Neodiprion lecontei: one gene and its partner. The protein of the gene in region 2 interacts with the protein of the main gene of each other region in a pairwise test. Links are inferred from orthologs where the notes say so. Each region holds a gene or a part of one and is shown on either strand. Other genes may lie near its edges. The genes, in order: peroxisomal biogenesis factor 3 and peroxisomal membrane protein PEX16.

Region 1 (4,206 bases), on a different chromosome or scaffold from region 2:
CAGCCGACAAAAACTCTACATATACAGTATCTGGAACCTGTTTGATGATGAATAATATGTAATAATCTCGTTCAGTCAACGGATATAACTTTAATTATATATTCACTTATATTCGTTTCATAATGCTGATCAAATTCAATTTGCAACATGGTTACTGCACAACTTAAGTTTCGATTATTTCCGACCGGTGGGTGTTTTCGAAAATATGTAATTACAAAATACCGTATCAGTTGTTGCAATGCACGTCATTGAAGTTAGTAACGTAGAAGTAACGAAGATTTGAAACAAAAATCACTGTTTTCCCCTCTTTCAATTAGTATGACTGAAGCAGTTCGAGTTTCTAAAATATAAATGTATTTTCATTTGTTATGATTTACTAAATTTTAGAAAATTTGAAAGTAACGTAATAATATCTTTGGCTAAAAAATGTCATTACATTAATATTATAAACTTCAACCTTGTAAAAATGCACGACTCTCAAGAAATTCGTTCTTAAATGTAAAATTCATAATGCATTGTATTTATTGCTTTGCATTAATTTGATCTGTTAAGAACCTTCACAAATTTCTCTTTACCTTGATACTTCATATTTCTCTGAAATGACAATTTGACTACGTCATGTTAGGTGTGGTATTGTGTATTCACAAATGCATAGGCAGCCCTAAAATTTCATATAAAACATCCAGACTTGAGTAACAAAATTTATTCCATCAACATTCCATCGCGTTTACATTGTCTATTATGACTCCCACACCACTATTTCACTGTCACGATTGGCTGTAAATATATAGTTCCTCTATCCAAATCTTAATTAAAGAGTAATATTCAAAAGCTGAATGCCTCGTAGACGTTGGCTCCTAGAGTCTTGAGTTTATCGTTTAGAATTAACTGTTTTACCCAAAGCGAGGGGCTATCACCTGCTCTTGGAATGGCCGGCACTTGTCCATTGACTATGGGGATCAGCTTGGCCATAGGCATGGACATTTTGTCAAGATTGAGAAAGCCGTTTGTCTTACAAACGTCCATAGGCTTCTCAGTCGAATCGCTTTGAGTCGACGGGCCTGGAATAGCGACCAAAGGATTTGAACCAGGCATAGCTTGTCCAGAAAAAGACGAGTCGAAAAAATATTCAGAAATATGATCAACCATCATGACAAAACCGGTTCTGACACTTGACCTAACGAGGGATTGCACTTCTTCGCTTTCAAGCAAATCCAAAGTCTCCGATATTATTTTCGAGAGAATTTTATCCCCCGTAGACTCACAATTTTGAGGCAGAATGTAGGCGCTTAGATTTTTGATCGGATCTCTCTCAGTATCCGCTGATATAGATGATGTTATTCCCCAATATATCTGTTCCACATCCCTCAGGGTAAGCTGTTGTGCCAGTGATATGGAAGCGGTCGTCTCCTTGACTTTTTCTTTTACAAATAAACTGAGCTTAACAGCTCCTTCGCTCATGAAATACTCGCATATCGATAGGTACCTCTCCTGCATTGCCCCGTCTATTTTTGCTTGCTCATTCTGATTTTTCGAGTCCCTGAACATGTAGCCGCCCATCAAATTCAGTTGTATCCTCAATGTTGCAACCAGCATTGTACTGGAGTAAATTAATGCCGCTGATCGAGCAACAGCTAGAACCTTAAGCTCATTCCAAAGTGCTATTTTGTCGTTCGAACCATGCCTAAGCTTATTCACTATGGTTTCGGTGTTCAGGGTACTTGTGACGGTATCCCGCAAGCCGACGGCAAGAGACAGTATTGTTTGGTTGCATGTTCTCTCCGTGCTTTCAAAATGCTGTTGTCGTTTTGTTCTCTCTATGAAGATCCTTGTTTCACTCTCCTGCCACTCCCGCAGTTTTCTTTGGGTATACCTCGTTGCCACGATAATGCCACCGACCAGGATACCACTGACGACAAATTTGCGTCTATGACGATACAGAAATCCTCTCAAACGTGAAAACATGTTGATTAAGTTAAGTTCATAGGGCCATTTATCATTTTCTTGCAAACCGAGTTACATGTAAACTTATTTTAATCTATCAAAGTGTGTTTAATCTATCTGATACTGAGCCGTCAGAATTATTCCATGGCCAACTCAGGGTGCGCGCTGAGAGCAGTGCGCTGTAATCTGTTCATAATGAAATTAGTAGTGTCTATGAATCGCTCGACACAATTACGAAGACAGTTTTCAGTTCTCGATTCTAGACGGGCAGATGGCTTGTCAATGCAGGTTTCCCAGCAGATGTCAGTCAGTTCGTGGACCAGGCCCTGCAAAATCAAAATTGTTTGTAGTATCGACGGGTTTTAGGGTTACCTGACGAAAGATCTCAAACATGGTGAACGGGCTAACCTGAAATCGTTGCTTTTGCGTTTCTACTTCGATGAAATGCTGCAGCTGTGGATCTACCGCGTCTTGCGAACTTTGATCCCCATCAATACTCATGCTTCAAGCCCTGACTCCTTGTTCTTGGCCAAAATTATGCCAGTGAACTCTAACCTGTTTTGTAATCTTGAAACTAGCGAGTCACTCCTGCGCCGTTATACGTGGTTAGTCGGACACTGGCACCCTCTGGTAGCACGATTGGGGACCTCTTCCTTCGCTTGCCGAGAACACTTCTTTGCCTCTATTAGGTCTAGGATTAGATCGATGCGACATTTACAATTCATTCCACTTGAGGCCGCCACATTTTCAAATTTTTTGCAGAAAGTACACGAAAGGTATTTTTTAAATATACCGAAACAGTATCGCAACGCGAGTTACCTCAGTTCCCATAAAATCTTCATAGACCTCGTGTAACATGACGAACGTGATTGAACGTAGAAAATACTTAAATCAATTTTTTCACCCTTCTTCGTCTTTCTTTAATGACTATATCACGGAGATTTCATGCTGTTAGAGTTAGGACCGATGTACTTTCTTTTTCTTTTACGTTTCGTTACATTTTTTAATTTTCTTTTTCTCTGATCGCTATATCATTAATTTATTTCTTTCGATTCTAAACTTTATAATGATTTGTTTCTGAAAACGTCGCGTCGTAAAGAATCTAAACTAGGCAATTCAAACTGGGGAATTTGCAACACCAGCAGTTGCTAAACTTCGGCTAGTCTCTGTAAGTTTTATTCAAAAGATGTATCGTTTTTTCAGGTTTGTTTCATCAATCACGGTAAACCGTAGATACTTTACAACCTCTGTACAACTTCGTTAAAGTTTCATCGAATTACATGACGATGCGCCCTGTTCGTTGGGACTCCCAGTTAGTACTGAATCTTTTCACCCCAATATAAGATGTCACTAAATATGAGATTACTATTAAATGCACGAGTGTTTTCGGAATTAGTTTCTTCTTTAATTACGTCATACTTCGAGTCGGTATTTTTTCTCAGTAACATATATATAGATCAAAACTCGACGCATCCGGTTAGTTTTCTAATTTCGGGCTGGGCGAAACAAATTCCCAGAAAATTGGCAGCCAGAAACTGAATAATAATTTGTATTTCAGCGAAGATGTTTTACAGTTTCTGCACGTTGGTTTATCTTGACAGAAATCAAACCGGATTGTTCATAAATCACGAAAGCCTTTGCTCCTAATCAGGCGGAATATTGAGGAAATATAAAAGTTGTGTGACGAGTTTACACATTTATGGAAATCCTCACATTTCAGCACCATAATTCAATATGGTGTACATCGCACACGTACCGTATGAATATGTGATCAATAAAAAGTTGGTCAATGACCACCTTATCAATGACTCCGGTAACAGAACCCGATTTAATTCATGAATGATCCGATTCGATACCGCAGATCATAAATAAATTTGAATATCCGATTTACTCGGAATGGGGACTCACGAGCAAAGCTCGCGTAAGCAAACGCCGTTCCTCGATTAAATCGAAAACAAGGATAGACCCCGTAGAGACTCATGTTTAAGTATCACATGTCAATACATTGTCAGAATCGTATGGTACTTCAAAAAGAATAGACATTCTATGCAACCGTAAATCTATTCAATATTTTATACATATAGGTATAAAATAAGAATTATCATTGAATGCAAAAGTGCAACGCGATTTCAGTCATCAGCTTCAACATAAATCCGAGCGACCTGAACAAAGACGGTAACTGTCAACGAGGGAAGCCAATACTCCGCACCAAAGAAAGAGGAATAAAGCATATAAATTATGCATATACCTAGTTTCGTTTTG
Region 2 (4,620 bases):
ATAAGAGAACAATCTGAAACAGGATGTAATGTGGGCAGGTTCCAACTTTTATTTGATACTTTGAATGAAGAAATCTGGTACGACGACGAAGCATTTCATTGCAAGTAAAGTTAACTCAAAATTGTTGATAATAAACTAATGAAAAACGTGGGTATTATAAATATTAGAATTTAATGAATTACTATGGAGTGCAATAATTGATTTTCATACCTGATTGTTTAGGCATTTTAACGTCGAGCAGGCAAATTTCAATAACTGCAGATTAGAATGAAAATAAAATCCAACAATCTTTCATCGCACTTATCTGAAAATGAAATGGATAAATTTACAACGATCCATCATCGGGTATTAGGAAATACAGAGCGTTTAAGACAATGGGGGAAGGAATTTAATCAGACGACAATTATCACGAATAACTGTTTCGAACGTTCCAACAGTACGTCTGACATTCTTTAGAAATCCTTACAGTCAATGATCGTATCAGAGTTAACCTCAGCTCGATTAATTCCTTTTATTAATTTCTCCGCCTTCTTTTCCACTCTCAAAACCGAGAAATTCATTGGTTCAATAGCTTATCGATCACGGACAGGCGATAATTCGAGTACGTTGCAATATCAATATTTTGTCTGTGCACTTTCTCCACGTTAGCTGCGCGTATAAATCTGCTGTGCAGCTGTCAAAACGCTTGAAACGTGCATACATTGCATACGTATACATGTACAGTACCAAACGTTGAATCCGTAATAATGTGTGAAAATATAACTTATCTCGTATTTAATTATTGTCTGAGTCACGTATTTACCTTTGCTAAATATTCAGCCAAAGCTAATACGACCGCACACTGTAATATACACGTTGACACTAGGTACGGAAAGTAAACCATCTGCTGCCTGGTTCGGACAAGTTCTGACAAATTCTGACCACCCGACTCGGCGCCGGAGCTACGTCGGGACGAAAGTGATTGCACAAACGATAACCGCGATTCGAGGATTGAAAATTTGTTTACGAGCTTGCGACGATAAATGCATACCTACGCGATTTCACATGCGGAATAACAGTAGGTAAATTAATTCGAACAAAAGACTGACGGGGTCTACTTATTTCAATTTTCACGTTACGGATCGTTAGCCGGTTTTTCGAAATTTTTCAACCTGTACCTAAATGGGTGACATGTAGGTATTTGTAAAAGAATTTCGTTTCTCATTTACTTACCGTCAGATTTCCTCGCTGTCGCGTTGTGAAACGTGGCTCGATGAACAGCTTTCGAATTTAGCGTGGCGCGCATTGTGAGCATCGATGTTATACACAAGCGATTATAGGAGTTTCTAATTATGGATACATGTATGCACAACTGTTTTCGATGTTTGCTTTGACAAGGTCCGAACGATTACGCAACTAATTTCTTCGTGTCGGGAATTTGAATAGAAGTAACGATGTTCGTCGCCGTATGAATGTATTATCACGTATTCCATTGGATCGATGCAGTCGGTAGAACTACGACGACTCTTGTTGTCGACGATTTTACACACTTTTTTAAATTTTAACAGTCATTTACGCTCACAGTTTGCTGTTCAGTTTCGCGTCGACACTTCGCTGCACCTATCAAAGCAAATGAGTCACAAAAAAATGCCTCGTTATTCGAGATAGAAGCAGAACAATATCTGGATTCTGAAAGCTAACCTATAACGCAGAAACTGATGTAAATATTTCTTTTCATCGAGTCTTTGTCAAAGGAATAAATCTGTCCAAGATGCCTTCGCACAATATGAATACCGTTTTAATATACGTTGAGAAATATAAAAAATGGGTTACATCAAATCCTCAACTAGCAGGGGACATCGAAAGTACGGTCAAATGGCTGTCGTATTTCACCGCTGGTTCGTATTTATCCTAATCGACATGTTACTTGTTTCGCATATTGTTCAACCGTATTTAAATTGATTTACAAATTTTGTAACGCAGGACGGATAAACAATTCAACTTTGATGTCGGAGCTCGTGTATTCGATGTCCAACTTACTTGTACTGTTCAACGATAGGATTATAAATGCTAATACTCAGGTAGAGACTAAATTGCCAAAGTATCACTCGAAGATAAGAATTTGGTTGACTGTCTTGGAATATTCAGAAGTTCTTTTGGAAATTTCGGCGAGCAAACTGTGGGGAGAGACTGGAAAATGGCTCATCATTGTTATACTTCAGGCTTTTAAGTACATACCTTTTTTTTCGTTTATTTGAATAATTTCGATGAAGAAGTAACTCTCCGTTACAATTACATAAATTGTTTTTTACCGCAGATCGGTAATGCGGCTTTTGCTAGTTCATCGTTACAAAGAAAGAGTGACGCAAAGTCCTCCGATTCCACCAATCAAACGTGATAAAATATCCGATAAGGTCGAAACAATTGAGAAGGACGGTTTTGCCCTAAAAAGATCTAAGAAAGTCGTTCGAAAGGTCAATTCGGGTGGATGTTCTCAGTTTAGGTCATGGGCACCTATTCCTCCGTTAGGAATCGATGACCAACAAACCACCATTGATCTTACACCGAATAAAAAAATAATTCTCGCAGAGGTTTGTGCCGGCTAAAAAATTCCAATGTTACGAACTCCGGCTCATTGCAAGCATTAATTGTACCCAATTACGGCGTTGTTTACATTTTCAGACTTTGTATATTATCAAACCATTGTTGCACCTTGGATGCGTATCCGTAAGCGGACAGAAGCAATGGAAATCGTGGTTTTTATCTCTGATTATTGACCTTGCAAGGTGAGCCGATGAGGTGACATATATCTGTAAATAATTTTGACAGTCGACTAATAATTTTCACAAAACAACTCTAATTTTCCAGTTTGAAGTTGTACAGCAATGAGACAAAAGCAGTAACCCTGCGAAAGGAAGAGTTTGACGAAATCTCTCGTAGACGGGTTGCACTGCTCTTGTACATTCTTCGTTCACCATTTTATGATAATTACAGCCGCATGAAGATTTACGCGCTGCTTAAAATGCTATCGAGGAACGTTCCGCTCGCCAGAATGGTAACGGACCCAATTATTAAATATCTGCCACACTGGCAAAGCACATATTTTTATATGTGGTCATCTTGAAGTGTACTAGAAAAATATTTTGGCCAGGTAACATACTGTATTTTTGCCGATTCTAAGTCGAGCTTGTCGGTGTTGGGTGGAATACAAAAAATGTTTGTCCAACTTAAACTTAGTGGGGTCCATTTATATTCAGGTATTATTGAAATAATTGTCACCAACCTTGGGGGGCAGGGAGGAGGGGACTCGCATTCCATTATGGGGTATGGTATTCTGTGGAAAGAACTTTTTTTTTTCATTTATTATATGCTCTGATCCCACATTTAAAGCTTAAAAACGTGCAAATCTATGAAATGATTGCAATTTAAGTTATAAGTAAACGTCTATTAATATAAGTTATCGCATCAGCATGATCGACATTCCAAGTAAAGATGAGCACAGTCATGTCAGTATGGAGAATCTGATAATTCTTCGTAATAACACAATTTAAGTTGGAAACAATATTTCATATCTCAGGGAGCAATGAATCACATGCCTAGTGATAACGTTAATGTATTAACATTGGCAGATAACTATTGGAATAACGATTCACTGATCCATGTAGGATTTATAAGCTTCTGAAGTATCGAAACTTTAAGAAATTGTTATTATTCTTTAATTGATTAATTTAATCAACATTATATACAAATATTAATATTTATATTTATGCACGTAATTTTTAGTAAAATGAGTTATAAAATCGAGATGAACCCTATTTGAACTAAAGACCTATGTAGTTCAGTACAATGGTAATTACACCAAATTAAAATCTCTTCTGCAAGTTTGAAATATGAATCTTAAAACAGTTACGTATGTAACAAAGACAAGAGTAAAATTAATAACCGTTATAATAATTTATAAATATATTACAATTAAAATGGAATACAACTTCAGCGGAAAATACAGATATGGCAATTTGAATATGACAATGGTTTTTTGACATTTATTCGCACATTTGCAACAGAGAATTTATTGTCACATCCTTCTTTCCTTGATTCGCATCGTACACGGACTTAATGACCTCGGTATCAACGTTTGGGAACATCTCTGCGATCTGTAAAATACAAATCCAATACAGTTAGCGCTAAACTTTGCCAACATTCTATGACAACACTGACAAAATCCATATTACCTGTCTCAATTCAATTTCTGCGTTTGCCCTCTGACTCGGATCAACAGTTGGAACAGCAGCGACGGCAGGTGGAGTCGTATACACATTGACCGGTGCATATTGTGTCATACCACATAAATTAGTCGAAGGAACCATCATTACTGGCGTTTGACCAATGTATGGATTACCAGGAGTAGGCTGAATAAAAAATTTAAACGTCGTTCATCAATAGTAGGAAAAGAAACGCGCCAACCGTTATTGATGGATCAACGAGGTAACGCAAAGTTTTAAAAGATAAATTCAGTCCTTTCAAATTACCAAATAACTGAAAACCATGTTAATCATGCCTTCCTGATTATCCCCTTGTTTTCCACTAAGGGGATACCAGTCCTCGTGAGTCTCTCCTGCCAAAATTACTTGGGGTGGTATT

What was found.
Region 1: the proteins of peroxisomal membrane protein PEX16 (region 2) and peroxisomal biogenesis factor 3 interact in binary tests that used the Homo sapiens proteins (3 or more experiments, as listed by UniProt). The link is inferred for Neodiprion lecontei from reciprocal best matches to the Homo sapiens genes PEX16 and PEX3.

The regions. Positions count from the first base shown.
Region 1 is NC_060262.1:21,936,303-21,940,508, forward strand, and holds peroxisomal biogenesis factor 3, read right to left. Parts: upstream 2,560-4,206; 5' UTR 2,353-2,559; intron 2,271-2,352; 5' UTR 1,966-2,270; coding exon 826-1,965; 3' UTR 689-825; downstream 1-688. UniProt on the Homo sapiens protein: Involved in peroxisome biosynthesis and integrity. Assembles membrane vesicles before the matrix proteins are translocated. As a docking factor for PEX19, is necessary for the import of peroxisomal membrane proteins in the peroxisomes.
Region 2 is NC_060265.1:3,486,212-3,490,831, reverse strand, and holds peroxisomal membrane protein PEX16, read left to right. Parts: upstream 1-1,741; 5' UTR 1,742-1,750; coding exon 1,751-1,877; intron 1,878-1,962; coding exon 1,963-2,209; intron 2,210-2,296; coding exon 2,297-2,570; intron 2,571-2,661; coding exon 2,662-2,765; intron 2,766-2,847; coding exon 2,848-3,103; 3' UTR 3,104-4,005; downstream 4,006-4,620. Other genes in the region: UDP-galactose translocator, read right to left, coding at 211-226; toll-interacting protein A, read right to left, coding at 4,023-4,133, 4,212-4,388, 4,509-4,620. UniProt on the Homo sapiens protein: Required for peroxisome membrane biogenesis. May play a role in early stages of peroxisome assembly. Can recruit other peroxisomal proteins, such as PEX3 and PMP34, to de novo peroxisomes derived from the endoplasmic reticulum (ER).